Linked DNA regions of Caenorhabditis elegans. The protein of the gene in region 2 purifies or fractionates together with the protein of the main gene of each other region. This does not show direct contact. Each region holds a gene or a part of one and is shown on either strand. Other genes may lie near its edges. The genes, in order: C05D9.3 and R05D3.9.

Region 1 (15,014 bases), on a different chromosome or scaffold from region 2:
CGCAGACGACACCCCAGTAACCAACAGAATCCGAGAAACTCTTCGATCGGTGCTCCAACTGCCTCAGAACACGGTACTAGAATACAAACGACACGATGACTGTCTCAGAGATCAGAGCTCATATCGTCATACTACTAAAAATATCTGCAAATGATCATGCTGCTTTACTATTATTTTTTTCGATTGGGAATCATTTTGGGTCCGGAGAAAAAGAAAATGAGAGGAATCTCGTTATTGGTTTTAATATATTCTGTATAATGACTAGTTTTATGATTTCAAGTTTTTTTTTGAATATGTGGTTTAGTCTGGCGGCTCTTGGAGCTGATGGACACTTTTAAATAAATTTATTCTATTGAAAATTAATTGAAGAATTCTGCATTAACCAAACAAAATAATTTATTAGATTTTAAAGAATCATCATTAAATGTTAAAGGAGTTGGTGCATCACGTTACTTTCACAACCCTACATTAAAAAAAAAGTTATTAAAATACAGTCGTTTGGTAATCATCATGAAAAATGGACTCACGAGATGTCGACCGCTTTAATTCGTTCCATAAAATTTAAATAATATAGACATACAAAAACATATAGACCGAGCCATGAGCTATGTTTTGTTAGTTGAAAGTGTTTTGATAGCATCTCTAGTTTTGGAGTTATTCTTATTTGAAAGTGGATATCTTCTTGGCCAGCACTGTACTACGTGATGACCTAATTTTCAACTATTCAGCTACAAAATCAGATAGCTCAAAGTCGAAAATATATACCCCTCTTTTTTCAAAATTGCAAGCAAATTCACTAACGAAATATAAAAGTTTATTGGAATTAGAAGTGTCAACTGTAAATGCCACGTGGCAACCTCAGATTGAATCGGATGTTTCAAAATTCGAAAGTCCATAACCAAAAGTCGACGCACCTGAGTTATCCGAATTGTAAGTACATTACAAACTGAAATATATAGTTTTGTCTAAATCTTACGGAAACTGCCTCCTGCTGACCTCAATTTCAAAACTACAACTCCAGCAATTAGGTTAAAATGTAGTTCACAAAATGTACAACATTTTGTTACTTGACAATTTTTCTGTATCTCTAAAAAGAAGTGAGATACACTATCCAGAAAGTGACCATCTTTTCCCCCTCGAGCCCCCAACAGCTTCTGGATTTATATATTTTATTTAAAACTCAAAAACCGCAGGGCGTCGTGGCGGGCGTCTGTAACCTAGCCGGGGGCTGTATTCAGGGGGAGTTGACATCAAACCCTGTCTTTCTTTCATGATGTCATTACTAAACAAACTAAATTTTCTTAAGTGGAGCTTAACTCCCAAAAAAAAAATTTTTTTTTAATTTTGCGCGCGCGTGCACGTGGCATGGCCTCTTCGACCTTCAAAAATTTAATGCCCTATATCTCAGCTTAAATTAGCGATAGAAACCTGAAAATTTATCTATAAAGGTTTTCGACTCTGGGCTTTCAGAATTTTAAATGACATTTTAAAAATTAGGTTACCACGTGGCAATTTTTTTAAAAATTTCTTTGCCTTTTTTGCAAGTGCGCATTTAGGCCATAAGCGGCTACTAGCTAGAAAAAGCGATAAATTTCTGAAAATTTATGTGACTAGGTTTTAGACTGTGACCTTTCAGAATTTGAACATTTAAAATTGAAGTCATCGCGTGAAAATGTTGTTTAACTCGTATACATAGCTTTGTATTTCCCTGCTGAAAGTATGTAGTCATCTTAAAAATCAGACATATAGGGTTTCAACAATGAGTTCTCAGATTCTGATGTAAGCAACTTTAGTTTATACCTGTCCAATTTCTCAATCAAATAAAAATGTAAAAAAGAATCACGTGGAACCTCTCAAGCTGAAGTATTCCGCCTGAACCAACCATTTTTTTATGTACAACTCTGTCTCCAAACCTCTCAAAACCCTTCAAACTTTTAGCTCCTTGATTTCTTTGTAAATCTATTCCACCTCGATAATCCATCTTTGTAACCTCTCTCAATCCTCATTTAGACGTCAAGGATACCCCCTACCATTAGCCGCCCTCCGAGGAAAGGAACAAGTATAATTGTACAAGCCTAATGTCACCCCATTTGATGGACATGTGTGTACTTGTTCCATTAGCCACCTACCTTTTTTCATACTTTTCCATTTCAACTATTCAATCTATGTAGACTACCTATGGATAAATTTCATTCTCTGCTAGTAGCAATATTTCTGTTGAGAGCTTTGGAAGGTAAATAATATGAAAGTTATTCAAAATCAATTAATCCGTTCAGAAACGTATTCAACGTATCATGGAAATATCTATGGAATCCAGAAGTTGAAGGGCAACAAAACTGGAAAGTCGGTTTATCAACATTTTTGGTTTAAAAGGCATCATGTGCATTTGTGAGTTCACGTATTAATTTTAATTTTTACATTTAAAGTTAGGTGCTTTGACTGTAAGATACAAGTTGTCAGAATTTGAAAAATGTGGTGTGAATAGAAGTTGTCACGTGGCATTGGCAGCTGACATTTTAGATTATTAAAAGAAACTTAAAAATAGAAATAAAACATTATTGTCATTAATTTTGAAAAAAAATGTGAACAAACCCTTTAATTTTTATCTCAACAAGTAATCAATTTCTTTGCCTAAACTGCATTTTTGTGTGAAAATATTATGTTGCAGAAGACAACGGTACCCAAAAACGCTAATGTTTGCAAGGATGTCGATGAGCCAATGCTCCAAGAAAAAAGTAATATTTATAAAAAAAATTAATCATGACAGGTACAGACAGTCAGAAAACGCAAGTCCAGATAGGTTTTTTTTGAAATTTGTTTCAAGATTTGAACTATAAACTTTCAAATTTATATGTTCCCCCAATCTTAAACAACTTTCAACAGATTAATTTAAAAAAAAACCCCCCTTTTCAGAACATCAAAATCATACAAGTAAAACGAATTGGTGGTGATTACCCATATGGTCCAAAACTGTCATCAATCTCTGAAAACCAGATATGCCGCCCCACAACAAGCCGCTCCTCCTCACCTCATTTTTCTTCCATCGCTTTTTCAACTTCCCGACAACTCAACTTTCCCAAGGTCCGTTTGTTGGTGTGTTGCATTTCTTTTTATCAATCGAGGGCTTTCCGTGCACTATATGTTGTAATACTTTGTTGAAGACCCCCTGTGTACGTTGGGTACACCAGTTGGGGAATGAGATAGACAGTGATTGATTACTTGATGCTTTGTGGTTTGTCGGGCGGGGATTGAGTCAGTAGATCCAAAGAGGAGAAAACAAATATTGTTGCTCGGGTACATGAAATTAGCAACATAGTTTCATGGTGTATCGACATGAATTGAATTTTTTTTTTAAACTTGCTAACTGAAATTTTCTAAAAATGCTTTTGCCTTTAGTTTTGTAATTGAAAAAAAACTGATATGTATTGTTAAAACTCGCAAGGGTCACCGTTGAGCAAATTTATAAGCTGGTGATTTTTCTGTCTAGAAATGCAATAAATCTTTTATTTTGAAAATAAAAATAAATAGAAAATATTATGGTTTTTTTAAGGCGAGACCTATGTACCCAAATTTGTATGTACCTAAATTTGATTTTTTTTTTCAAACCAAAATATAAACTGCAATTAAATGAAATTGATCAGTGTAAATTTTATTAATTAGTACATATAGTACAGTATAGTGTATAATATAATATGCTATAAGATAGTATAGTATAAGTTAAATGTGCTTTAAGTTTCAAATCAAATAGATTTCAAAATTGTATTCACCTAAAGTCTAACCTCTGTTTTGAAATATTTCAAAAGTGAAAATTTTTCCACTGTGAAATTCAGTGGCAATGATTCTTTAGTAATGCAAATTTGTTAGAAACAGATATACAGTTTTTTTTTATGAAAAAAATATTTACTCGTTTTCAGGTCTTTTTGGAATTGCTATGCTGTATAGAAACACTCCTAAATTTTCAAGTAGAAATTGTAAAAGAAATTTCAAATTAACTGTTCCACGTTGCAACTAGAGCTCTCTAGAAAAAATCCTTTACACTATAAATTGGAAATAACTCTAAAATACTTTTCAGAAATCTTCGAAATCTCTGAACCAAGTTCATATCAACCTGGCAAAGCGAAAACAGTGGAAACGAAACAAGGCGTGGTGTACTCATTGTGAGTCATACTGGAAGATGAAGATTAATTCGAAACAGTTGAAGTCTAGATACCCGTGCTGTTGAATTATTTTGAAATATTTTTTTATTTTAAATAAATGCCTATTTTCCGCGTGAAATTATAATTTTTACTGCAAAACGACAACCTGTGCTCATTTCTTGGATTTATACTGAAAATTTGAGTTTCAGGTTGTGCTTGAACTTTGTAGATTTTATCAACATTTAAACATCCAAACTTCTGGAAAGCCCAGTTGGTCAGTTTTATTGGCGTTTTAATTACTGTAAATTGATACTTGATAGATGCGCAGACAATTCAACTATAAAAATATTTCGAAGACATTTCTCACAAGTTTCTTACAAGTACACCAATTTGTAAATGTAGTTGTCTTCAGGAAACCCCATCAAATCCAGGATACACATATAATTTGCTCTCCGAGCACTGACCTTTTCTCCCGATAACTATACAACTTGCTCCTCCCCCTTGCAAACTCTCAGAAGTTGCCCGCCGCGGTGCAAAAAAAACAACAACAACCTTCGATATAATATCAATTCTCTCCTCTTCTCGCACATTTTATAATCCGCCGAAACTCGGAAACACACAGTTTTTATGAGTAGTGGGGGGATTTGGGACTTTAGGTCACATAACAGCTGCTCTTTTATACACATTCCGATGCTCTTTTTTCGAAGGAACTGACTTTTTTTTGGCGAATGAAATTTGTATCAAAACATTTGATATAGTGAAGATACTAAACATTTTTTGAAGTTTCAAAGTTCCGTCTTCAAAACAAAAAACAAAGCAAAAAAAAAGTTCAGTTGGTTTTGGGTGTGCACCTAGTCTCAACGCCATATGACAGAATGTAGCGTCTGCTGCTGCTGGCAGTTACGGCTCTGGCACGCCAGATGCCTACGCCTGTTGTGTTTCATCTCATACCTCTGTACTCGAGGTTTTACCCCCCTCCTACCCCCACTGTTTATTACTTTGCTCGACATGTGCTGTTCTCAAGTTATTTGGCATCCCTTAGCATAACCCACCTCCTCACGAACTTTTTTTTTACTTTTTTTTTCCCCATTTAGTTAACTTTATTGTTTAGTTTTTTCAAAAGTTGTTATCTGATTTTTCATGTTTTTCACTTCATTCCTTTATTCCGTTTAAAAATTCTAGCTTGTGAAATTTTCATGATTCCACCTAACACCTCAAAACGTATACCAACTCGTTGAATTCTTAATTTTCATATTTAACTCCAAATTGAAAGAGTTTTCTCACTTCCAGAAATTGCTAAAAATCTCAGTTCCATATTGATTTTACGCGATTTCTAGAATTAGAGCAACTTTCTGAATACAACTTTCATAACTTTCGTTATCCTTTTTTTAGAGGCTTAAACCTATTTTAACGTTATAATGTAACTGTTTAGTTTGTAAATAATGTCTACGTAAATTTATAATTTGTATTTTTTGTTGTCTGGTTTTGAAATATCAAACCCCAAATGTTAGATTTGAGAAAGCCCGTTTAATTTTGAATTTTTCTATTGTGAGTACTTTTTCAGTTCTTTAATTTTTCATTTGAATCCCCAAAAAACTCAATTACTGGGCTTGAATTCATCTAGAATCTCCACATTTTTTCGAAAACACCGTAATTTTCTGGTAAAGTTGACCCAATTTCGATAACTTTTTTTCAGATGAAAATGAAAATTGAGCCAAAAAAAAACCCTACTACTCCCGCCCTTTCTATATTGCTCTGAAACCGAGAACATTCTGGAAATCTGGTTAATTTTACAGTCCCAAATTTAATTTTTTTACTTCAAAAACCATGTTATTTTTAATATGCACAATTTCAAGTCCACCATCTCTTTTTTTTCAGAAATCATCACAAAATGAAGTCCCGGATTTTTTTTATAACATTACTGACAATAGTTGCCGCTCAAGAATCCGCAGATCAGTTATGCAGTAGTTTCGATGCCCAGCAGAGCTGTGGACAGTGTATCAAAGCACATGCAGAGTGTGCATGGTGTATTGATCCCGTATGTTTACTTTAAAGTGCAGGGGTTTTGAGAGGGGGTACTAAAAAGTTGGACGTCTTAGATTTCTGACCTTTTTGTAAAATTTGATATCTAGCTAGTTACTTTGAGTTAGTTCAAAAGATTTTCCAACTAAAGAATTATTTAAAATCGTTTTCTATTTGTATAGTTCATTCCTTTTAACTGCAAATTTTCAAAAATTTTAAAACTGGGTTTAAATTTAAATTTAAATTTTATTTTTATTAATTTTAAATTTTAATTTTAAAGCGCCACTCTACATGCACCTGAAAAATTGTAGAATATCACATTACAAATGTTATCTTAGTTTGTAATTATTTGGAAAAAACCGAAGAATTAAATTATAGGTGCTTTATGATGCTTTATGATGCTTACAATAATCGTGCAGTTACAAATTCAGAAAAATTATAAGTGCATATGCACGTGGTGTCAGGCTGTCCTATTATGGTTTGATCTACAAAACAAGCGGGAATTTTTTGTCAAAACAACTGTTACGTCAGCAAGCTCTTAGCCATGCGAAATCAGTTGAGAAGTCTGCGTCTTTTCTCTTGCATTTTTTGTAGATCTATGTAGATCAAACCAAAATGGGACACTCTGACACCACGTGCATATGTGAATACTTTTGTTTCGCAAAAAAACTTTCAGCACTCTTCCCTTACAAACCGATGCCAGCTGAAATCCAAGTTTACCAATGAGACATGCACGCCGCACTTGGTGTATTCTCCACAAACCGCTCAGGTCAAAATTCAACAAGTAAGTGTTACAGTGGTATAGATCCTCGCTGTTTAACCTTTAAAATGTTACAATTTTTGAAAGTAAAACAGCGAGGAGGCATACCCATTGGAGCCTAATTTTCCAACTTTTTCTCCAGAACTTACCACTTGAAACCAAACAGCATGATGGTAAAACCATTGTTCGACAACAGCCACAAGCGGTTTCCGTCCGTCTAATGCCATGTAAGACTTGCGTTTTATTTTTTAAATACGTAACATTTTCGATAATTTGCAACTTTGTAGCTCACTCCGCCACCGTTTCTTTCAAGTACCTGCATCAAACTGACCCAAGCAGACGGAGCACCGAACCCGAGACTATGGAAATTCAGACTTCTGATGTTAAAGATACTCCACTGCAATTGAAATTTTTCATTGTCTGTGATGGGTAGGTGAAGATTTCGAAAAACAATTTTTATAGGAATCATTTCAGAGAGTTGAAGGAGACCAAGTCGTGCCGTGTGCAGAATAATCAAATCGTTGAATTTAAGATTGAAGTGAGTCTTTTTTTGTTGAAAATTTTGTTTGATCTCCAAAACTGGCAAAAAAAAGTTGTGGATTGCTCGTCACTGATATGGAATCTGCCTCGATTTTTCGAAAACATAAATTTCTCCTAAAAATTGAATTTTTTATCAAAATCTGAAGGCAGTGACCTAGGCAGGTGCCTCTTTTTGAATTATTGGTCGTATGTTTTCAATTTTGATGGTAAACTTGTGAAAAAATGGGGACAGCGGTTTTTTGACATGCTAAATCCGAATATAAGGTTCTATGGTAATCATTTAGTTTTCCAATATTACCAAATTTGAGAGGGGTTACCATAGCTGCAAGGCAAATTAAATTTAACAAAGGGTCGCCCATCACTTGGTTTTTCAAATTTTAATTTTAAAAAGCCCCGCACGTGTTTTCAGCTTGACCATTCGGTGTTATTTGTGCAAACACCGTCACGCGCAAATGTAGACATTTTTGCACGTGCGGTTGTGAAATTCCTCTTGGCGAATTCAAATATTTTTCCCGCCTTTTTTGAAAATTTTCGAGGCGTTGGTCTAGCTGAATAAACGTGTCCTGTGAAACACAATAAAAAAGGGCATACCTTATAGACACACCCCTAGTAACCAAATTTGCTATTCAGGTACGCTAGCAGAGACCAAAATCTGCTACTGAAAAAAGCAAAAAAGTCGCTAACCAACAAGACAAGTAAGCAAAAAGTACAGAGAGCTGATCGACACTAACCATGGTTCTAATAATTTTTTTTCTGACCAAAAGTGCTACGCCTAGACAAGCTACAAATTTTAAATATTGATCCACGTTTTATTTCCGAAATTTCAAAATTTTCAGGTTCTCGTCAACTCGTGTTCCAGTACCGGCGATATTACACTATCAGTAGGTATTCTTAGACAACGCACAATTGCTGGCCTCTACGTCACCACGATTTGCGGGTGTGAATGCGAAAAGCATCCGGTAAGATGATCCCAGCCACTTAGCACTTTTTACGAAATTTGAAACTTTTCTCTTTTGTTTCCTAATCACTGGCAATCATCAAAAAAGAATAATATTTTTTTTCGCAGGAAATCAATTCTCGATTGTGCCATCAAAACGGACATCTCGTCTGCGGACAATGTGTTTGTGATCAGTCACGTGGTGGGGATAAATGTGAATGTCCGCTTGCTTCGCATGGAGTTTCCAAGGCTTCTGAATTGGAGGACAAGTGCAGATTGTAAGATTTTTGAAATTACAGAGCGTGAGAAACTAAAGTTCTCAATAATACAGTCAACATTAGATGTTTTTAGCAAAGACTAGTCTGCCAAATTTGACTTTTTTTTGAATTAGGGAAATACATAAAGTTGCTGAGAATTACACTGACAATATTTACACTAAATGCAATAACCATATTGAGAGAGCACGTGGTGTCAGAGTGTCTCATTTCGGTTTGATTTACGTAGATCTACAAAAAAATACGGGAATTGAGACGCAGAGTTCTCAACTGATTTCGAATGGCTAAGATCGTGTTGACGTCACCTGTTTGGGCAACAAATTCTTGCATTTTTTGTAGATCGAACCGTAATGGTACAGATCAGAAACTGATCAAACTGTAATCCTTTGAACTCTACTTGCAAATAAATGTTTCCTGGCAAAACAATGTCAAGCTGGGTGATTTGTATCGTTGAACTCGGGGCAGCAAAAATGACGAGTTCTGACCATATTTTGATAACCGAACTACCAAAGTTAGGTTGTTGTATTATATACCAATGACGACCTGTTTGATCCTTTGTGCTAAGGTAGCCTTGCTTAGCCTTATAGTTTCGGAGTTCTGGAACTCTATATCGGGGACAAAAACCTTCAGAAGTAGAGTCCTCTCAAAACCAATCGAGTATTTTTTCAGCAATTCATCTTCCCCAGTATGCAGTGCATCTGGAAAATGCAAGTGTGGACAATGCCAATGCAACAAACCTACTGTAAGTGGTGTTACCCTCATAAAAATAACTATACAAAATTTTGTGTTGTTTTGAAATTTAATATCTTGTTATACATCATAGGTGACCGGCAAGTTTTGTCAATGCGACAACGACAGCTGCCCGTTGGCGGTCAATGGAAAAGTGTGCTCTGGAAACGGAGTGTGCGACTGCGGAGTTTGCAAGTAAGTGGTCGTAGTAATAATAACATTTGAGTGAACAAAAAATAGAACAATGAAATTCGTATATGTTACATCACAATCAGCTTTACAAATTCGTACTTTTTGCCAGATGCGAGATGGGATGGGAACGTGATGATTGCTCGTGCTCGACGGCATCCAACAATTGTGTGGACAATGGGGTAGGTGGTTGGGGGTCTGAAAATGTGAAGGCCAGGGTGCATGCATGGAAACTAGTTTATTAGTATGTCACCTTATTTGTCTTTAAAAGAATAAACTAGCTTGATATTGCCTGTGAATTTGAGTTTTCTGGAAAAGTGCAAATTGATACTGCATGTTGTTCAAAAGCTTGGAAAAACATCTCAAAAATATTTCTAATTAATCATCCAGCAGTGTATAAATTGTAATTCATTAATAGATAAGAAAATGGCTGCAAGTCTAACAATATATATTTTGTATTGTGAAAACTTTTTGACCTTAACATTCTTAAATTTATTTTTTCTAGGCGGTGTTTTTTTTCTGGGATACTTTGCATATTCAAAATTCTATAACACAGGTCCTCTTTGCATTGCATGAATTCACTTTAAACCTCATTCTTTTTACATTTTGAAGGAACTGTGCTCGAATAATGGGCGGTGTGAATGCAATCGTTGTGTTTGTAATATGGGGAAAACTGGGGCCTTCTGTGGATCTGACGAAAAGGTGAACTTTGTAGAGCTAGATAACGTCTTCTAATTGTACGGCTCAAAATCACAATGAATTTAACATTTTCAGACACCAGCCCCAGAGGAGAAGGATAAGCCAGAATCGGTGCCGGAGGAGCCAGAAGCCACTGAAAAACCAGACGACATGCCGTCTGACAGTGATCTTGAGAAGGAACTGGATGAGTCATCGAGTGCGAAGGAAGAGCAAACTTCCTCCAGTGGAGTTGTGTCGCGAGTTTGTGTATTGTTAACCTTTTTTCTTCTTGTTCTGAATTTTTAAGTAAAGCAATGAGCTCGATTTTCGATTTCTAGATTGCTCTTTCATCCTCTCTCGGTTTTCGAAAGTTGAACCCCACTTCTTTACACATGTTTCTAATGATGCATGTGTATTATAGGTACTTAATTTAATTTGGAAATTGCTGTAAAAAAGTGTACCGCTTTTTAAATGTGATTTTCAGGTTTAAGAGAAACCTTTTTTAGCCTGAAAAGTTAAAATAATTTAGTTTTACTTTCAAAATGCGTGCCTATAATACACAAGTTTTTTTTACCTTATATCTACATTTCTCAATATGGTTTATTTCTAAACAGTCAACTTGTCATACTTGGTAAAATCATCCGTTAATTTATTCAGAGTATCAAATTGTACTTGATATGCTTTTGGATAAAAGTTTTATTTTCTCTCAGTTTGAATTCAAAACATATGGAAAAGGGGGGTGTTTTTATTTTTATTTTTGTAGGTGTTAGAGGTGAAGCTTGCAATTTGTAAATTGCAAAAAAAATTCTGGAACTTCAAACCAATAAAAAAATAAATCTTCGTTTTTCAGTAAATTTAAACTCTGAGATTTAGGCACTATAAAAATTTCAGAAGCAAAACTCAACTCTGAATATCTGAAAATTGAGCCCGAAATATTTTCAGATACAGATAGATAGGTTTTTTCAGAAACGGATATTTTCATATTTTTCCTCGTATTTTTCTCCTTTTTGGCGATCTTCAAACATACTCTGCTAAAATATTATATTATGAAATTTATTGGAAGAAAAAATAATACATTTATCAGACCAGTATTTGACAATGTGACGGAAAGCATTAGAATTAATATAATATGAATTATTATTTCGAGATGCTCAAAATATTACACCAGAATTCAAATATTACTCCTGGTCCCTTACGCACAATAAAACTCGTCTCCAGCAAACCGTGCCTGGGACGTGCCAACGTGTTGCTGATAACGTTTGTACCGAACTTGGTCAGCGATTGACATTGTGCAGTGGAATGCCACACGGCAGACGTAGACGGAGACTGAGAGGAATGTTAGTGAGAGGCACCAGCCGACAATGCACAATTGGAACGTGGCTGGAAATAAAGTTTACTTGAATACTAGAAAAATTTACCATGTGAAATGGAACTGCTTTGCATTCTTCTTTTTTATCAAATAAAGTGTTGCCTTTGCACTTCATTTAAAAAATTTAGGTTATGGTGCATCGATAAGTCCAGTGTTTGAGCTCGATTGAAAATAATTGAAATTTAGTGATTTACTTGTGCTCCTAAACTCCTAAACGTTGACAGTGTATTTCTGCTTGCTTTGGGTTTACGAAAAACTGGCCAATTGACATGATACTTCTTATTTATTTTATAATGATTTAGTGGGAAATTACTTCTTGATTTTTTGATATTTTTATGTGCGAATCAAAATTTAGATTTAAGTACAGTTTCCGATCAAGTTTTCAACAATCACTTACCATCTACCAAATCCAGCTTGAAATGTGTAGAAACAAGTTGTGCACCCATTTTTGTGCACTGCAGGAAAAACATGAAGAGCTCACTTTCCGGCTTGATAAGCGCATAGGTAAAAGCCGTCAAGAAGACGGCACTGACAAATGTTTCAAGAGTCTGAAAACGGAAATTGGTTGCAGAATTGCTTTTAAAATACATTGACGTATGAATGTTCGTAACCCCTCGTGGGAACGATTTGAGCCGCTTTCACGTGGCGTCAGGCTGTCCCATTACGAATTAATCTACAAAACATGCGGGAAATTTTCCCCAAAAATGAGAAGTTTGCGTCTACATTCCAGAAATTCTCGTAGATCTACGTAGATCAAACCGAAATGGGATAGCCTGACACCACGTGTGATTTATTATTAATCCACGAAATAAAATTTTGAGCCACTAAAGACAAGACCAGCAGAAAATATTTTCAAAGTGATCCGAGTACGCGACTTGTACAAGTTTTATGAAAACAATTTTGAGTCGCTACGAACACTTTTAATTTCTTCAAAAACTCACTCTTAAAACAACGAATGGAATGCAGAAAAATGGCTGCTGGCGGATGATACCAATGTGCATCATGAGACTTGTCAGCACAATTCCACCCATTACTGCCGAGACGTATAGGATAAACTGAAAACATTTACGGGTTAAAATTTCACATTGGAATCAAAATAACTATGCTTTACCTTGTTTCTGATCCCATTGTAATACATAAAGGCATTGAAAGCAATCACAATAATGGCAAGGGCACAGTAGATGAAGGAAATACAATGGGCAGATGAGGACTCCTAAATTTCTGATTATTAAGTTGAAAGTTCAATCAGGGAATTTGCTCCGAACTTTGAATACCACAAATTTATAACCAGATCAACATCATATGAGTGACCTTCAAAGGGAAGGGAAAAAATGACATAAAATTGATTAATTCTCTTGCGGTTTTAATTATAGGCGCGTCGGCCTTTTATGTACCCAAATTAACAAATAAGAGCAGATGGGTAGAAAAAGGAAACATCAATTTTTTATGTCTTCTCTTGGTATTCGGCAGAAAATTTGTAAGAAACCAACATGCAAAGTAGCAAAGTAACGGAAAAAACCGACTCCCTATTTCTATGATAGAAAAAAATTTCAACATTTTTACGCGGAATCTATCGAGTTTTCGTTCCGATTATTCATTTGAAGTTATCCGTTTTTTTTTTCAAAAATCACTACCTCTTTGCCAGATCCCCGCTGACTCTTGGCAGATGTTCCTTGTTCTGGCTCTCTTCTCATCGGCGCCGACGACGGATTGTACTCCTGGCCGCTATTGTTTTTCGGCTCAAATCCTCCGTAGTAGTCATCTCTCTGAAATTGAATTATCAATGTTTGCAAGACATCGTTTGAAACTACCTGTGAATATGTGGAGTATGTGTAGTAGTCTGCAGTGAGGCAAGGTGCTGATGGTCTTGTCATTTTTGGGTCTGAAAATGAAGGTTAGAAATGAAGGGGTACAGAAAAAAGAAGAAAGAAAAGAAAAAAATTGCAACGACACTATCATTAAATTTAGAACTTTTTACATAGAATGATCCTAACTCGTAACAACTTAACTGTAAAAATTATATTAATAAATATTTTGTCAGTTGAAATGGTCTGACTGAACTAATGGGACAGCTACGGTAAATTGACAGCACTATGGCTCAATTTTTCGTGATATTTAACTTTTGATTTTTGGGCATACAGATAAGTTACTCTCGAAATTTATCAATCGATCCTTGGACTTTTTTGTTCGGCAGAGGCTGGCGGAGTTTACAAGCGTACGACGAGGTTTAACTTTTTTTACAGTTTTATAAATGGGACATAGATGAATATTTCGAATGCTAAATGCAAAAAGAATCAGCAAAAAGCTCACAGACCTGTCATTTTCTGCCGAAAAACGTCGTTTAAGGATCGATTGCTAAATTTTGGCAGTAATTTTGGGCACCGTTATTAAAAATATTTGTTAAAAGTAAGAAAAAGTATATTATTTCAAAAGTGAGCAAAACATGTTGTCTATTTCAAATGAGAATATTAAAAATTAATTAAAAGGTGCAAGTTAAAGAAGGCTGTAAAAAAATTAGCGTATGTCAGATCTATGTAAAAGTTGAATTATTAGTAAGACTGTATATTGTAGTACAGCTGGTGGTGTTCTTGAAAAAATTTTCAACATTGTTTTCGACTTTGTCAAAAGTTTTTAAAAGATGTCTTTGTAATGGCCAAAAATTTGGGATTTAAAATTGGTTTGAACTTGTGTTTGGTATTTTTTGAGACAAAAAATGATACAGGTAAATCAGGATTAATATAGAAGAATTACAACAAAAAAATCAGACCTCCCGTTCAGTTGAGCAACGGGAGACTAGGACCAAAAAAAAACGCGTGGTGTGCTCGGCGGGGCTCACACTCGTTCGGACCCCCGTCTCGTCGAGTGTGGGAGAAGAAGGATACTCAATGACAATAAACGGCGGGAAATGAAGGAGGAAGACGACGAGCAGTAGAGAGACAGACAGAGAGAGATGGAGAGGTTGACCTCTCCTTGCGAGTGACCAAGCGGGTCTCTAGGGCCGATCGATTCTCTGGACCAGAAAGATGACAGGGGAGAAGACATGGGCCAAACGACAATTGAATAATTGAGTTGATGAAAGCGAGAGGAGGGACATGACGCACATTTGTTCTTCGGCTCAGTGAGCATGATTGAATAATGATAGATCTCATTTATTTTTCATTTTGACAGGACAACCAACATGTTGAAATATAATCCTGGACGATTGCATGAGGAAACGGAAAACATGAGAAATAGGAGCAGCGAAATCAAAATGTTTCGAGATTATTTCTAAAACGAGAACTGACATTTTATATAACTCAAAACCTGAAAAAACTTCTGAATAGTGTACAAAATCATTTTAGACGTGTACGCTCAAAACACTGATCGAATTTATGTCTAG
Region 2 (15,387 bases):
ATAGAGAAATTTTTCATAATTCTTGCCAAATAAGAAATTGAAGGCACAATGAGAAATTGGGTATACCAGAAATTAAAAGAAGAAAGTGAAGGCGTTTTATTATATTCATGCACACATGTTCCTTGTCACAGAGGCACAGTTCGTTTTTAAAAAAATTTGGTATGCGAAGGAAGAGATAAATCGTATCACCTTATCAAAACATTCACAGTAGAAGCACGAAGACCTTATAAAGGGTCACTATGTTATCATTGATAGGGATGAAATTTAACAGATATAATTGAAAAGGACAAAGTTCAATTGTTGGAACCTACGAGTGGATAACCGAATAGAACTGGGAAGTCTCAAAAATCTCCCAGATTGTTCTCATCGGTTCGGTTAGAAACTTAGAAAAAAGATATCGGTGTTTGAAAGTTAGTTAGAAAGACACAAACACATGTGACATATTGAAAACAGGTTGCCGGAAATTGTCGTATTTCGTCCCGGTGGAGAAGCTCTTTGTTGTGGAGTCGAATTTCGGTAAATCTTTTTTTTACAATTTGAAAATAGATAGCGGCCAATAGAAAATTGGTTATGAGGTCAGAGTGTTTTTTGAGTGCGTTTTCTATTTCATTTCGGCGGGGACAATGTTACAACATGACCTCGTAAATTCGTCAAGTGAAAAGAAAAAACTTCAAGAACTCAACGTGTAAAGAGCATTTATAAAAGCGGTTAACTTATCAAAGCATTGAATCGAAATTATTGGAGGTTTTGGAAATTCTAAAATAATTGCTAAAAACAGTTTTGAAAAAAACATGCATTTTCATATGAAAAATTCGAAATTGATTAGCTATACAGGTGGTAAAGAGCGAGATAGTGAATTGAAACAAGGAGGAATTCTTTTTGTCTTCCTTTGACTAATTTACGGTTTCTTTCGCCACAAAAAGCATCCGAAACGCGAGAAAAATATATGTGTCAATAAAGATAATAGGTCGACGTTGACTTAAATTTCGCAAGTAAAAATTTCCAACTCCTGTGTGATTTTAGTGATTGCAAAGAAAAACAACGACATAAAAAGAAGGGTTCAAAGTGTAAAGGCTGCGTGAAAAGAGAGTGAGGCGAAATGTGAAATGGGTAATCAAGATTAGATAAGAGACACTGAAAAGGAAACAGAAACTGGTTTTTTCACGTGAAAATTCGAAAAAAAAAAAACAAAATAAAAACATAAAAATGGATCAGAACCATGCACGGACGCTCAGTGGTGCAACCACTCTTACAATTTGAACGCGTCGAAGAAGAAAACCGAGAGAGCATGAGGAAATAAGAGACATAGAAAGACAAAGAGCGTGTCGATTCGAATCGAGATGGCTGGTTGGAGGAGGAGGAAACACGCACTCTCACGTGCTGAAAGGTTGTATTATTGATCAGTTGAGCTCTAATTTATGGTATTTAATTATTTTTGCGTTAAAAATGATGTCAATTCAAGAGAACAGAAAACAATGTCAACATTGTTTTTTTTTCGAAACCATAAGATGGTTCATTTCACAACTTTAGAAAAATCGAAATTATTCGCATAGCAATAACTAAAACTTATGTTTTACACCTGTATAGACAGTCTTAAACCCTAAAGTCTTAAAGGCCTATAGGAAGCCAATATCACTTCTGCACGCAAGGAAAACAGTGTTTCTGTTAAAAATCACGCTTTAGCAATTTTCTAAATTTAATAAATCTATTATAATAGTTTTTGTGCTTTATAACATTGGAACCCCCAAGAAAACGAAAGAAATAACTGTTAAAATTAATAAACTAAAAAAAATTTAAGTACTCCGAGAGGAGTTCACAAAGGCTGCGTGGTGAGACCTATGCAGCTAGAGAGCACGTCGAATGGAGAGACCGAGAGGAGAGTGGGGGCGCGAGTTTGAATTTGAAAGTGATTTGCATTTATTATTAAATACAAAAATTAAAAAAAAACTGTATTCAATGTTACACAAAGATTTCGATGAATATTCAGAAAATAATCTCTAGATTTCTGACGGCAAACATCAAAGGAAAATAAGAATTTGAATCAGAAGGTTTGACAGGAAAGTAAGAACAAAAGCTTATTGACCAATCAATCAAACTTACAAATTCCAAATCAACCAAGCTATTTCCCGAAACGTCAGTTTTTGCGAAGTTTTTTTTTTCCGAAATATCCATTCAATAAATGTTTACCAAAGTGTCAATGAATTGAACGCAAAGAAAGCAGAGACACCCACGTGTCTCTTTTTCTATTTTCAACTTGAAAAAAGTTTATGATCTAAGGAACAGGTGTTACATATTTGATATCTTAAATTTTGCAGAAAACGAGAAAAATTGCATTTTGAAAAAAAAAGTTATTTTCATTCAGATCACGAGATGTGTATGAAATTAACGTCAACGGAAGTAGTAATGCGAATCAGAGAATGTTGTATAACTGAATAGAATGATAGGAAGATTTATTCTGATAATTCATGTGTTGTGATGATAAATAAATAAGCTTACCAAAACGCAAAAACAATTATTTTATCCCGAAATATCTGCGAATCCATGGGAATTCGTTGCAAAAAAAATAATTGAAAACGTTTGAGATATAATAAAAGCGAGAAAATGTGTGTGAAAATTTGCAGCTGATAGACTGAGGCTTATGGAATTGGGAAGTTTGGAACTAATTTTTCAAAAAAAGTATGATAGTCGTGAAGATTTCGAAAACGGAAACAAATCAAAATATTTTATCTAACACTTACATAATTAAGTAATATTAAATCTTCCAAAGCTGAGATTTAGTCCAGCGTTACACAGAATTCTGAGAATACGTACATACATATTGCGCAACATATTTGCCGCGCAAAATATCTCATAACGAAAACTACAGTAACTCGTTGAATGACTACTGTAGCGTTTGTTTCGATTTATGGAAGTAAATTTTCATAATGGATAAAATTTTAAAAGAAAACACAAAAAAAGAATACAAAGCATTACGAAAAATGAAAAATTGAATATCGCTGTCAGAATTCGAACAGAAATTCATTTCGAAAATGGAGATCCCGTGAATCGACACCAGTGCTACAGTAGTCATATAAAGAATAAATGTAGTTTTCGCAACGAGATATTCTATTCGTCAGGTATGTTTTCCAATGTGCATTCTCAGAATGTAGTGGTCAAGTAATAGATTTTCATTTACATTTCAAAAAACATAGCACCTTACAGTACTCCAATAACCCTTGAGTAACAGTGTAGTTCAAAGCGAAAGACCTTGTAGACTTAGGTACTTTTGTGCCTGCTTTCAGCACTGCTCTCTCAAAATTCTCCACACAATAAAAACACCAAGAGCTTTTCCGTTATCATCCCAGTCAATCAGAAAAATCCAATCAATTTCCATAACCCTTCTCCTCCTCACACCACACAAACACACACTTTACCATCGTTCCCGTCATCAAAAGAAGGTCTTCTTTTCTCCGGTTTCTCTCGGTATCTCATTCCCAAGGACATCTCTCGACTTCGTTTGCCCATTCATTCTTACTTCTTATTGTCATTCTTGACATCTATATTCTTTAAAAATGTGGCCGTCGAATAGGGGTCCTACATTGTTTCAATATTCAATCAGGTGTCTAGGATTTGTGGCATTTATCGGAGTTGTAAGGTAAATTTTTGAGGGAAAGGAGACATCAAGAAACTGTCTCAACTAGTGACCTAGATTCAATAAGTTGATGGATTAGTTGAAGAGTGCCCCGGTTCACAATATAAATTCTAGATTGCTTCAATTGGAATATTTTTAGAAAACCTGATAGTAGCTGAAAATTACAGTTATATGGCTCAACGGAGTTGAGTATTCAATCAAAATTATTCTTTTGATTAATTGTCAAGTTTGGTGGGCAAGAAAACTTTTCTAAACCGCTCCTATGGTGCTAAAATGACCAAATAACAGTAAAACATTTCAAAACTTTGTTGAAATGTTTTTTTTTTTCGAAAATGAGGAAACTCAACGTTACTGTAATAATTTTGAAGCCGGCTAAAAATTTTATGTTTCAATGTTGATACCAGTTTTAAAACTTTAGCATTCTGGAGGTTTGAAAATCACTCAAAAAACCCACATTTTGAATATTTTGGTAATTTAGCAAAACTTTGACTGAAATTTTTGAACAGTCTAAAAAAGTTTTTATTTATGATATTTAGTCGTTGTGGACGTTTATTTAGAGCCGTAATATTTTTCATTCAAATGTTCTTAGATGACATATTTTCAGATGTCACTGTCCTCATATGATGGGAGTTAAACCTCCGGGACCACCATCTGGACCAAGCCCGCCTGGTAAATTTCCTGATGGAGATGAGGTGATCTACTTTTGAAATTTTTTAAAAATACTTTTGTATTTATTATAGGGATGGGATTACGATGAGACAGCTGCACCAGGAATTGTTCCAGAGCCACATTTTATTCAATCTACGTATATTTATAGATCTCCAAATGGTAAGTATTGCGGTACAATTTTTTCCGAAATAATATTTATTCCTTGATAATAAAACTAAATACACTTTACTTCAAAAAGCCCAAAAATAGAATAATAATTAATTGTTTATAATTCCAGTTCAAGAGAAGACATTTTCTTCGAGAGTGGTGAATGTACTGAAAGATATCCGAACAAGGCTTGCTAAATCTGCAAGACTTACATTGGAAAATGAGAACGTAAGCTGAATTTTAAATATTAGTAATTTCAAGGTGAAACTTCCAGATTGAATGCTCTTCTCCTACAGATCACTATAGGTGTCAGGAATATCCTGCTTCAGGAACTTGGAATTATTTGATTGTTGAAGATCAGTAAGTTCTTAAGCTTTTTCTAAAAACCCAAATCTTAAAATTCCAGACAAAAAGGGGCAGTTACGTATACATTCGATCGAAAGTTCAATGAGAAAAATGATGGAACTATTGAAATGGCACTTTTGGAGTGAGTTTCCAATTAATTTTATCTGGAATATGAGTTTTTATTTGTTTTATTTGTTTCCAAATATCAACTGCTCTTTCACATTTTTCAGTGAATTTTTTTTTCTAATTTGACAGAAAAAAGATCTTGAAGGGTACGCGTAGGTAGTAGGTAGGCATGTAGGCATCAGGAGGGAAGCACACTCATATGTAGCTAGGCACCTGGAAATGGGACAGAGACCTAACCAGACAGGAAGGCGCCCAGACAGGTGTGTAGGTAGGACGTGCCTGGTCCACCTTAATTTCCAAATTAAACAGGCACCCGTGCCTTAAGAAAAAAGGCTGTAGACACGTACGATAAAATGATATACCATTTTCCGAGAGCAGCCAAAAATCATTGTCATTTTGATTTTTCATTCATATAAATAGAAAATAATTCCAGTGCATTTTCTCGTCATTCTCCATCATCTCTAATTGCATTTGCATCATCTGAAGCTGAAAAAGAAGTTGGATATATAAGAGCTTTAACAGTTCAGGAAATGGATGTATGTTTCTCACTTTCCAAACTACAGTAGTATTAACGTCTTACACATTTCAGTCTTTGAGTGGAAAACGAAGCCATCAAAAAATCTCAATGGAAAAATTTGGTCCAAACGAGCTTATACTTCTGGAGCCTGCACTTCTAGAGGTTCGAACTGGCGCGAATCTCAAATTGAACTCAGATTCCTTGAGAAGAATCGATTCAACAAAAGAATTTGATAAACTTCTGGAGGAGTTCAGAAATGTGTTCATTTTATTCTGGAATAGCAGTGAGTCATTTTTTGATACAATATTTATTTGAACAATGGGAGGTGAAATTGGAAAAACAAAAAGTTGTCCAATATGGAAATGATACAAGAAGAGATTGGGGAATGTGTGGCCTTTCATATGGGAGTATTGAAGACTACAGGATGAATTTAAAAGAAAAATAGACAAAAATTTAGAAATAAATGGTTTCAGACTTCGGCTAGTTCCTTCTTGATCTCACTGGGCCCAGGTTCATTTGAATCAGTGATCGAACTTCCAGCTCCAACCATCTTCATCAAATCCTCTAAATTGATCTCAAATCCTTCCTCCAGTTTTATCGACATCGTCGGAACACCTCCTTCTTCGTCTTTCACAATTTTCAACTCGGTCTGCTTGGCTACATCGGTATCGTAGATTTTCTTGAGAACCTTTGTACGTTGTCTTCGATGATAGTTGGCAACTTTCGGACGGACTTGGCTCACAGACTCGATCACCACAACCTTATTTTCAGCTTCTTCTGCAAGCATCATTTGGAGAGCTTTCTCGTCAAAGTCCTTGTTTTCTCCGAAATCACCATCTTTCTTTTCTTGCATTGTGTCGATGATTTTACGTGTTCTAGTCACACATTCTTCAGCAAGGCGATCAACTCTGAAAATTTTGGACTGTAGTAGTACGGTAGATTTCTTGAAATTTCATGACTTACTCCATGGCAACATGAAGATCCACATCACTAAGCATCACAACTCCTTCAACACCTTTGTGCTGAGTTCTGATGTGTTGATCTACAAAGATTTCACGACGTCTGGCATAGCTGCACGCGGAGCACTTGTATGGACGGTAGTTCAGATGAGCTTCGATGTGATTCTTTCTGGAATATTCAGATAATTAATCGAATCACTTTCGGGAAAAACGAACCGATTTCTCGAACAAATCCATTCGTTGCAAATCACACACAACACGTTCTTGTATCTTCCGAATGCAGCTTCACGAAGTTGCTGAATCTCAGATGTAGGACCAGAAGCAGATGGCGAAGCAGACTGTGCAGCAACAACTGGAAGCATCACAAATCTGGGCACGGGCTTCATGCTAGTACATGAACCTCTGGAATGAAATATTGAGGTTTTTTTAGTCTTTCGGTAGTTTAACACACCTATTTTGTGGCACAGCATCTTCTCCGAGTGCCGAACTCAACGTCACAGAGGAATCACCGGATCCTGCATTTTGCGCCGGCTCCGAGACTGGTTCCCGTTTGACAGCTTTTATGATAGAGTGAAACTTCTGCTGCTGCTTGAATGGAGATTTTGGAGCATTCAGAGGACCGATTGGGTTCAGAGAATTAGGTGGCATTGGAAGAGCAGCGACGTAGTTGCCAAGAGTGTTCGCCAGATTTTCATCTCCACCAGCTTGGATGTATCCGTGGAGAAATTGCCGGAACGCAGCTGAAAATTGAAGCATATTTATTTTAGATTTCAAGGAAAGTTATCAAAATATTTAATTTGATGACAAAAAACAACAAACCCAAAAGAGTCAGATAGTTCAGAGCATGAGGCGAAGTCGGTGGTGGGTTGGGTGCAGTCGAAATCATGGATGCAAGGAGTGGAGATGAAGTCTCAAGTGGTTCTTGTTTCACTGTAGTAGCTGTCTTCTTCACTTCCAACGATGATTCCATTTCGATTAGACGTTTTCTCATATTTGGAGACTCCATTCTGGAAACACAATTTCAGTTAGCTTTTGCCGAACAAACCATAAACCTTTAGAAGACGTAAGCAGTTCTGGATCACTGTGTTCTGGATAAACAAAACTCGAACTGATTTATCTGGAACAGTTTGTCTTCGGCACTTGGATGACCCTACTTGAACTTTCGACCTCATGGTGACCTATTTGACGTGGTGACCCGCAGAACTGAAAATTAAGATATAGACAGGTGCAGAGAAATTGGATTCTTCATGCGACGTGATATTGAACATTTAGCACGTGAAAGTTTTGAATATATTTTTCAAAGTTAAATATATACAAGGTTTTTTTTAAGTGTTAACCAAATTTTCAGATAGAATGGTCAGTCTTCATACATTCAATCTCTGGTCACGAGTAGCCGACAAGATAAAGATTTCTGAAGGTTTTCCATAGAAATTTAGAGAAAAATGGCAATTTTATAACTTGCAGACACTCTTTTGGCACATGTTCCCTGTCATGACAACGCTGATTTTTGTCAGGGCCTCAACTCTGAAGACTATCATACTGTTGTCTCGTATAGAAATGGGCAGAATACTGGAAAAACCGAGAATATTGGGGACGTGGAGTTTTACGAAAATTGGGTTGAATTGTGAGTAAATTTTTAAATTTAGATATTACTTTAGATAAATCCTTCCAGATCACTATCCGGAGCGATTCAAAGACTTCCAAATGAATCGAAGCTTTCCGAGTTTAAGAAAGGAATTGTTGGAGGGAAGAAGCGATCATCAGTGACAATTGGAGTATTCCCATCTGATCAGGATACATCTTTTCAACACTTTCAAATTGCCGCTGAGAAGTTATCTGGAAAATATTATGTAGCTTATTTTATAAACGAAAAGTAAGTTGGTTTAAGATAGTAGTCGCGATACGATCAAATATATTTTAAATAAACCTTTAAGGTTTTGTTGGTTTTTTTTAATCGAAAATTATTGTTTCGAAGAACAATAATAACTGAATAATTGAAAAAATCGCGTTTTGTGTAATTTTAGATGTTATTGAACAATCAATTGGTTTGAAGTGTGTTCATAGACTTTCAATTGCCCCTAGCACAATTAAAAAAGCAGAAAAAATCATGAGAAAATATGAAAATAACTTAAAATTATGCTGAAAAAACAAATTGACAAATTAATTATTTGATTATCCGAGAGGAGTACACACGAAGGGCGCTTATTTGCGCGCGGAATTTAAAATAGTTTTTTTTCCGAAACTTCGAAAACCTATATGTATCCTGAATAACGAAATTTGTCTAATGTTTCGATTATAAAAAAACGTCTTGCCAGAGAATATATAATGTCTTAAAGAAATTTGCAATTTGGAAATGTGGAAATGTGGAAAAGCAGTAAAAAACGAGAATAACGTGCACTACCGTACTCCTCAAAGGCGCACATTCCTTTTCGTAGCCTTCAAAAAACAATTTCCGATCGTGTCGAGACCATTTTTTTCCAGCTGAGTAATGATAATAATCTTTTTTCAGCTCAAAACCGGCCATAACCACATATCGTCATGCTGAAAAACAAAAAAGAACGGATTATTCAGGAAAATTTGATCCAGCCACTTTGATGGAGTTTATCACAAAATCTTCGATTCCTTCAATTGTATGTTTCTATTTTATATCAAGAGAAAATTTCAAGTTTTAGATTGGTATTTCAAATGGTTTCACAACGGATCTACTGTTTCATCAAAAACGTCCAATTCTTATTCAAATTGGCGGCGCAGGGGAATTTGAGCCTTTCTCGAAGTTGTCTGCTCGGCAAGATGCTCGGAAAACCTATATTTTCACAAAAATTGATGGGGAAAGTGAGATGATTAAGAAAACCAAAAAAGCATTGGGAGTTGGGGAGAACGAATCAATAATTGTGTTTTTGAACAAGGATCGAGTGCATCGAATTCCAATTTCAAAGCCTAAATGCCCTGATCATCTTCAGAAAATTCTCCAGATGATTATTACATCTGAAGCGGATCGTGAGTTTTTCCAGATACTTAGCCATACGCGAAGTTTCGTGATTTTTGTTGAATTTAACAAAGAATTCATCGTGCCGAGACCGAAATTACAGAAGTTCTCTCAACAAAAGAGCCACATCCATTAAGATATCTTCAAGTTGAAAAAGTGAACGAAGTATTCGGATTCGAGGAGACTCTTGTTCTTCCAGATCACACACTTTTCCTGGATTCCGATGTAAGTAAAAGTTTTGTTTCCAGTCAAATAAAATCTCTTGAATTTTCAGCCATTCTCTCGTCATCCACCAATTACAGAGGGTGGTGGTGGTGGTTGCCCATTTATGCAAGGAGGTGGAGCACCAACAGAATCTAGTCAACATTCAGAACTTTGATATATTATCATCATGCATAATTTTTGAAACAAGAATAACTATTACTATACATTTTTAATAAAATGAGAAAAAACATAAGAATTTACAACTTCAAAATTATATCAATATCAACTTCAACAAAGTTCATAAACTTGTGGATGTGTGCGTGCCGTGGCATCATCACGGAGATTCAGAGTATCAGAACAGAATTCAAATAATATAAGCCGACTAACTATAGAGATAGTGATTCAATAACTTGATAGGATGAGACAGTTTAAGATAGAAGCTTAGAAATTGCGCTGTGAGAGGTGGGGGGAGGGGAAGGGACCAAAACAGAGAAAACGGAGGACAGAAACCCATGTTGAACTGAGAGATTGAGAAAATGAGGAAATTTACTAAATAATTTAATGGCGGTTCTAGATGAAAATACGATGGAAGTCATTGGCTCCGAAGTTGCTGTTGCATTTCGGGCATTTCCGTTGACGAGTGTCGTACCTGGAATTTTTTGAATCATAAGCTAGAAATGCGAGATATCGCTTGAATATGTATTTTTCGTTTTACTCCGACGCGAAATTTCAAGCTGAAAATACACGACAAAATGTTTTGTTAAATGGGAAAAGGTGTGCGTCTTCAAAGAGTACTGTAGTCTCAGACTTTTGTTTTAGCGGAATTTTCATAACTAGTTGCACTTTTTTATTAGTTAAAAGATTGTGAGAAATAGGTATTGTAATACCAAATTCTCACAATTTGTTAAAATTCGGGTTTTTTTTAAATTTCATATTCAGTTGACATTTTTTATCGAGAAACTATGAAAAATTGATGAAAATTTCGTAGCATCAAGAGTTTGAAATTACAGTACTCTCTAAAGACGCGTGTCGATACATTTTTTTTAATTAAAAATTGAAAATTTTTGCGTCTAGGTCAAACCAACCAATTTTAGTGTTTGAAAAATGAAACTAACATAGTCTTAATGCAAGTTTCACAGAATAAATGATAGCATTTGAGCATAATACAATCCTTTGGCCTCGTTTTACATGATGGACAAGTCAGTGTTTCTTTCATTTGTCGATTCGCTTCCTCGAGGACTTGATCACCACTTTGAGCCGGTACAGACTCATTTCGTTTTACTCGTTCATATTTAATTCGAAGCGTCTCAAGTTCCTCTTCAGCACGTTGTCTCTTGAATTTAAAATCTTCGATTTCACGTGCCTTGGCAGCGTATAATTCTTGAATTTGCTTCATTTGACCTTCACATCGATCCGCTTTAATTTGGTTTTCGTCTCGTGACATTCCAACTTCTTGAATGTTCTTTCTATGTTGTTCCATCAAGTTTGTGAGACGTCTAAAAAATGATATTTTAATTTATGGATTTCTTAACATTCAAAACTAACGTTAATTCGGCAGATTTGAACTGAACTGATTCCGACAGTTTAGTTACCAACTCTTCATTTGCTTTCTTCTCAAATTCGTGCATTTTTGCTATTTGAGCATCTGTTTGTGCTTTACTTTCCAAACAAGACAATTTTTCACGCAATCGATTAAATGTCTGATTCTGAATCATTCGATCATTCATCATTTTCAGATTTCGATCCTCCTGTTCCCGCTTCTCAATGTACAGTTGAGCATTCCGTTCTTGTTCTTCTTCTACAGCTGTTCCAATGGCTTCTAACTCATCAGATATGCATTCTTCGTCATTAGTCAGCATTTCATTGGTCTTACGAAGAGTCTCCAATTCGGACAATTTATCAGCAATTTGACGATTGACTTCTTTCTGTAAATTCTCACACGGGATTGTAGAGATATGAACAGACGCAGAAATAATGTTTTAGAGTTTACTGAAAGTACCAAATAACGAAAGGACGTGTACTTTGAAAACACATTTTTGTCAAATAAGGTACAATGACTTACTTCGACTTGTTTCTGCTTCTCCTGTTTTTCCATTGCTCCCAGTCGTTTTACTTCTTTACACAAAGATTCGTATTCTTGACGAATTTTATTAACATCTTCCGGTGGAGCATTACTAACGTCTTCAAGAGGAACAAGTAGACATTTATCCTGGGCTTCTTTCAGTGAAGTTAACTCAGACTTGAGAGTGTTGATATCTTTTTGAGATTGCTTATCCTTTTCGCGCAAACGAATTTTCTCTGATTTTAACGATCTATTCATAGATCGTAGAGTATTCAAAGTTGCTTTCATTTCATCCCACTCGCTTTGCTTCACCGTCTTATTATATTCTTCCTTAACAGTTTCGAATTCGCAGCGTAGAACTTCACTGTCATGAGATACTTTGTAGAAAGAATTGTGAATATCCGATTGACATTGAATTTCCTTCAGCGTCTTCTGATGTTCTTCAGACATTAGCATTGCACGAGCTTCCTTTGCACTGCGGAAAGCATCACGTTCTGTTGTGATATCTTCAAGATCTTTGCTGACTCGCTCGTATTCTTTAATTGCTAATGAGTAGTACTTTTTAAGATTCTTGTATTCCTCCGAGTTGACAATTGAATCCACAGAGAAGAAAGTTTGTGTCTGCAACTATTTCAGAGGTAATAGAAGAAATTCGGGTAAAAATTTCATATTTTTGTAATGGATAAAAATTAATATATAGTCAAAACGGTACCTCTAGTCTTAGCTTGCTATTTTCCTGTGTTAATGTTTGAACTTTTTTATTCATCTCCTCGAGATCTTGAAGGCGTCGTGATGCAATGGATTCCTGTTCATCTCGTTCAAGACGCAGATTTTCGATCTGAAATTATTTTTTAAAAATGCGTTATTCATTTCGATTGATAAAAAATTTTTAAATCTCACTTCTTTTGCAGCTGTTTCACTTGGTGGAATATCTGGAGCTGATATCTTCTTCTCAGTAGCATTTGTTGTACCCGACGAAGACGGTGTCGCCCCTCCGTTCCCTCCAGACTGTCCCTCCGAGACGAGGGTGGCTAGTTTGTACTCAAATTTGTTAGCAAGACGCATATGTTTGTCAGTTTCAAATCGGGCATCTTCCAATTGATGTTCTAATTCTTGAACTCTGTTCTCTTGTACAGAAAGCTTATCCGTTAGAATACGCTTTTTCCGTTCCAAATTGTAACAATCGCTTTGAACTTTGGTAACTTCGGATTGAAGCTTTTCATTTTGTATAGCTAAACTTGCTGCTTTGGCTGTAAGCTCCTTATGGACACCATTTGGATTGAAGGTAGGAGAATCGATCAATGTTTTTAGTTTATCGATGAAAATGGTGGATTCGTGAGCCCGATCGTGGCGCGCTTTAGCATACGATACGAATGCATTCCGTCTATAGAAATATGTAAATTAAGAGTGAATTTTAATAATTTAAAACTCACAAATTCTGCTTTGCCTGATCAAAGAACTTGTTATATGTTTCATTAGTCATTCCAAGAACGTCTATACCAGTTGGTGCAGTGTCTCCTCCGATGTATTCTCCAAACTCATTCTTAGTTTGTGTACATATGTATTTCTCAATCTGAAAAAGAAAATAACTAATTGCAATCTGAAAATAAGTAAAAACGTACATCTGAGAACATATTATAAACCTTCAGAAAGTTGCTTTCGTCTGTCTGCTGCCGCCTCTTGGACCGTTCATTTTCTTTTTCCAATTCGGCTATTCGCTTATTTTTGTACAACAATTGCTGCTTTAATTTAGATGTCTGATAAACTACGGCACGAGCTCTTATATCGTTCTGAAATCGTTAGGGATTATTAATAGTATCCTCGATTTTAAATGAAAGACATACCACGTTGCTAACAGCGGGCATTCGGACCGGTTCGAATTGAATTTTGCGTCGTTTTTGTTGTCCATCGTCACTCGGGCTACTTGCATAATTTTCTCCTCCTATACCTTCATTACTTCTTTTCATCATACCTGAAATCAATACGTTTCTAATATTGTATACAAAATGTTAAAGAGATGGTAGAAAGCAGGGAAAACAAGGAAAAGATTTTAAACATATTAACGGATACTTAATCAATGTTTTTGAACAGATTTGATGACAATTTTATTGTTTTTGGAGTGCAAAAAAGGTGATTACAAAAAGATTTCCAAAGAGACATTTCAAATGGCACTCTTTTCGTTGCGAGACCTGAGTGAGAGAGTGTGTGACTACGGTCAAGAGACGGAAATGGGGTAGATTTACGACCGAACAGCATTTACGAGACTTGCGGGACTTTCGAATTCTTAATTCGTTTTTTTCTCCTCAAATTTCGGTCTTTCGTCCAAATAACAATGGTAAAAAGGATTTTTGTGCAAGGATTGGATAGCTATACAACGGAATCGACAGTTAAAAAATATTTTGAACAATTTGGAACTTTATACGAGTGCATTCTACCTCCTCCTCCTAGATATTCGGTACAGAAACTCTTGTTCTGATAGAAAATGTCATTATTTTCATTTTATAGGTATTCGACAATGGACCAGACGAGGAGAAAATTTCAACACGATCATCGATTCGATATGAGCCTGTGGAAAATGATGATGTATTAGATGACGAGCTCGATGTCGAACGATACGATGTTGAAAAACACGGCGATTTTGAGAGTTACATGAGTACGTAAGTTCGAAAGCTTTTGAAAAAAGTAAAAATGCCGAGTTCCAGAAAAAATTGGAGAAGGTGAAGCATTTATCAAAGAGCCGAGAAAGACTAGCGCAGGCTACGCCTACATCACTTTCGTTGATTCGAACGGATATTCAAATTGCATGAAATCAGATATTCATGAAATCGATCGAGCCAAATGCACTGTTGAGCCAGCAAAAGATGAAAATGATAAGAAGTTGAAAGTAGAATCAAAACGACTTTTTGTTTCTTATTTTCCACTAGACAGATTAACTTCAAAAGAACTGAAAATGAATTTTGGAGCCTACGGAAAAATCACAGATGTAGAATTTGTCAGTGTAAGTTTTTAATTATTTGTATGTTTATTTCATGTTAATTTTTATTGTTGCAGGATTCAGAAGGGCCGCTTCACTTCTGCATTATAACTTTCGCAGACTCCAGATCTGTTGATGTTCTTCTAACCAAGTCAATATACATCAGGGTGAGAATATAGAATGCTTTCAAAAAAAGATGCGACTAATTCTTCAACAAACAATATCAGGCGTAGTCATCAGGACTTGATTGCAACCTCGTATTATAACGCGTTATGAAACATTTTTCAGGATGTTCTGATGTTCACCCGACGTGCTGTATTGAAGGAGTCCGTTAAAATAGCGGAACATAAGATAAAAGAGCAGGAACAACAAAACCTCGTGCAACTAGTAAGTTTTATAAAGTTTAAATAAATTATCTTGTAAAACGTGTTTTAAAATATTGCATTACATTTTCAGCCTCCAAATCACACTGCTTATCTAACGCCGTCACGTCCCGTAACTTCTGTACATGCCTCATCATCTGCTTCATCAAATCACTATGATCCATCTGCAGCAGCAGGATATGCACCACTATATCATCAACCACCAGAATCAGATCCATTGTCTCAATGTGGCTATGGACCGAGAAAATGGTAGCTGTGATGATCAAACAAAACTCATATATCTCAAATTACGGTTTCACTTAATTCGAAGTTTACGAACATTGATTTTAAAAAATAAAATTGATTTATCTTCGAAGTTTCATTCTCTCGTAACTTCCTTTATTC

The links.
Region 1: the proteins of R05D3.9 (region 2) and C05D9.3 fractionate together in Caenorhabditis elegans (co-fractionation; one large-scale study listed by BioGRID). This does not show direct contact.

Annotation. Positions count from the first base shown.
Region 1 is NC_003284.9:1,105,889-1,120,902, forward strand, and holds C05D9.3 (Integrin beta epidermal growth factor-like domain-containing protein), read left to right. Parts: upstream 1-6,027; coding exon 6,028-6,174; intron 6,175-6,834; coding exon 6,835-6,942; intron 6,943-7,060; coding exon 7,061-7,145; intron 7,146-7,205; coding exon 7,206-7,347; intron 7,348-7,392; coding exon 7,393-7,456; intron 7,457-8,294; coding exon 8,295-8,417; intron 8,418-8,524; coding exon 8,525-8,673; intron 8,674-9,339; coding exon 9,340-9,412; intron 9,413-9,493; coding exon 9,494-9,594; intron 9,595-9,700; coding exon 9,701-9,770; intron 9,771-10,200; coding exon 10,201-10,290; intron 10,291-10,362; coding exon 10,363-10,572; 3' UTR 10,573-10,963; downstream 10,964-15,014. Other genes in the region: ife-4 (Eukaryotic translation initiation factor 4E-4), read left to right, coding at 1-154; C05D9.4 (uncharacterized protein), read left to right, coding at 2,179-2,233, 2,277-2,388, 2,669-2,735, 2,914-3,081, 4,073-4,222; C05D9.7 (uncharacterized protein), read right to left, coding at 11,459-11,646, 12,033-12,183, 12,577-12,690, 12,747-12,848, 13,270-13,401, 13,447-13,509.
Region 2 is NC_003281.10:8,356,856-8,372,242, reverse strand, and holds R05D3.9 (uncharacterized protein), read left to right. Parts: upstream 1-3,523; 5' UTR 3,524-3,551; coding exon 3,552-3,634; intron 3,635-4,235; coding exon 4,236-4,323; intron 4,324-4,371; coding exon 4,372-4,459; intron 4,460-4,577; coding exon 4,578-4,675; intron 4,676-4,721; coding exon 4,722-4,807; intron 4,808-4,853; coding exon 4,854-4,934; intron 4,935-5,351; coding exon 5,352-5,454; intron 5,455-5,507; coding exon 5,508-5,718; exon of another isoform or gene 5,719-5,904; coding exon of another isoform or gene 5,905-6,343; intron 6,344-6,398; coding exon of another isoform or gene 6,399-6,563; intron 6,564-6,610; coding exon of another isoform or gene 6,611-6,796; intron 6,797-6,845; coding exon of another isoform or gene 6,846-7,134; intron 7,135-7,213; coding exon of another isoform or gene 7,214-7,400; exon of another isoform or gene 7,401-7,401; intron 7,402-7,446; exon of another isoform or gene 7,447-7,597; intron 7,598-7,742; coding exon 7,743-7,811; intron 7,812-7,858; coding exon 7,859-8,018; intron 8,019-8,047; exon of another isoform or gene 8,048-8,066; coding exon 8,067-8,267; intron 8,268-8,903; coding exon 8,904-9,024; intron 9,025-9,066; and 7 more. Other genes in the region: Putative zinc finger protein R05D3.3, read right to left, coding at 5,905-6,343, 6,399-6,563, 6,611-6,796, 6,846-7,134, 7,214-7,400; rfp-1 (E3 ubiquitin-protein ligase bre-1), read right to left, coding at 10,155-10,233, 10,700-11,080, 11,130-11,518, 11,647-12,267, 12,359-12,484, 12,547-13,030, 13,080-13,219, 13,269-13,436 and 1 more; Putative RNA-binding protein R05D3.8, read left to right, coding at 13,979-14,101, 14,152-14,299, 14,349-14,644, 14,698-14,787, 14,909-15,007, 15,077-15,256.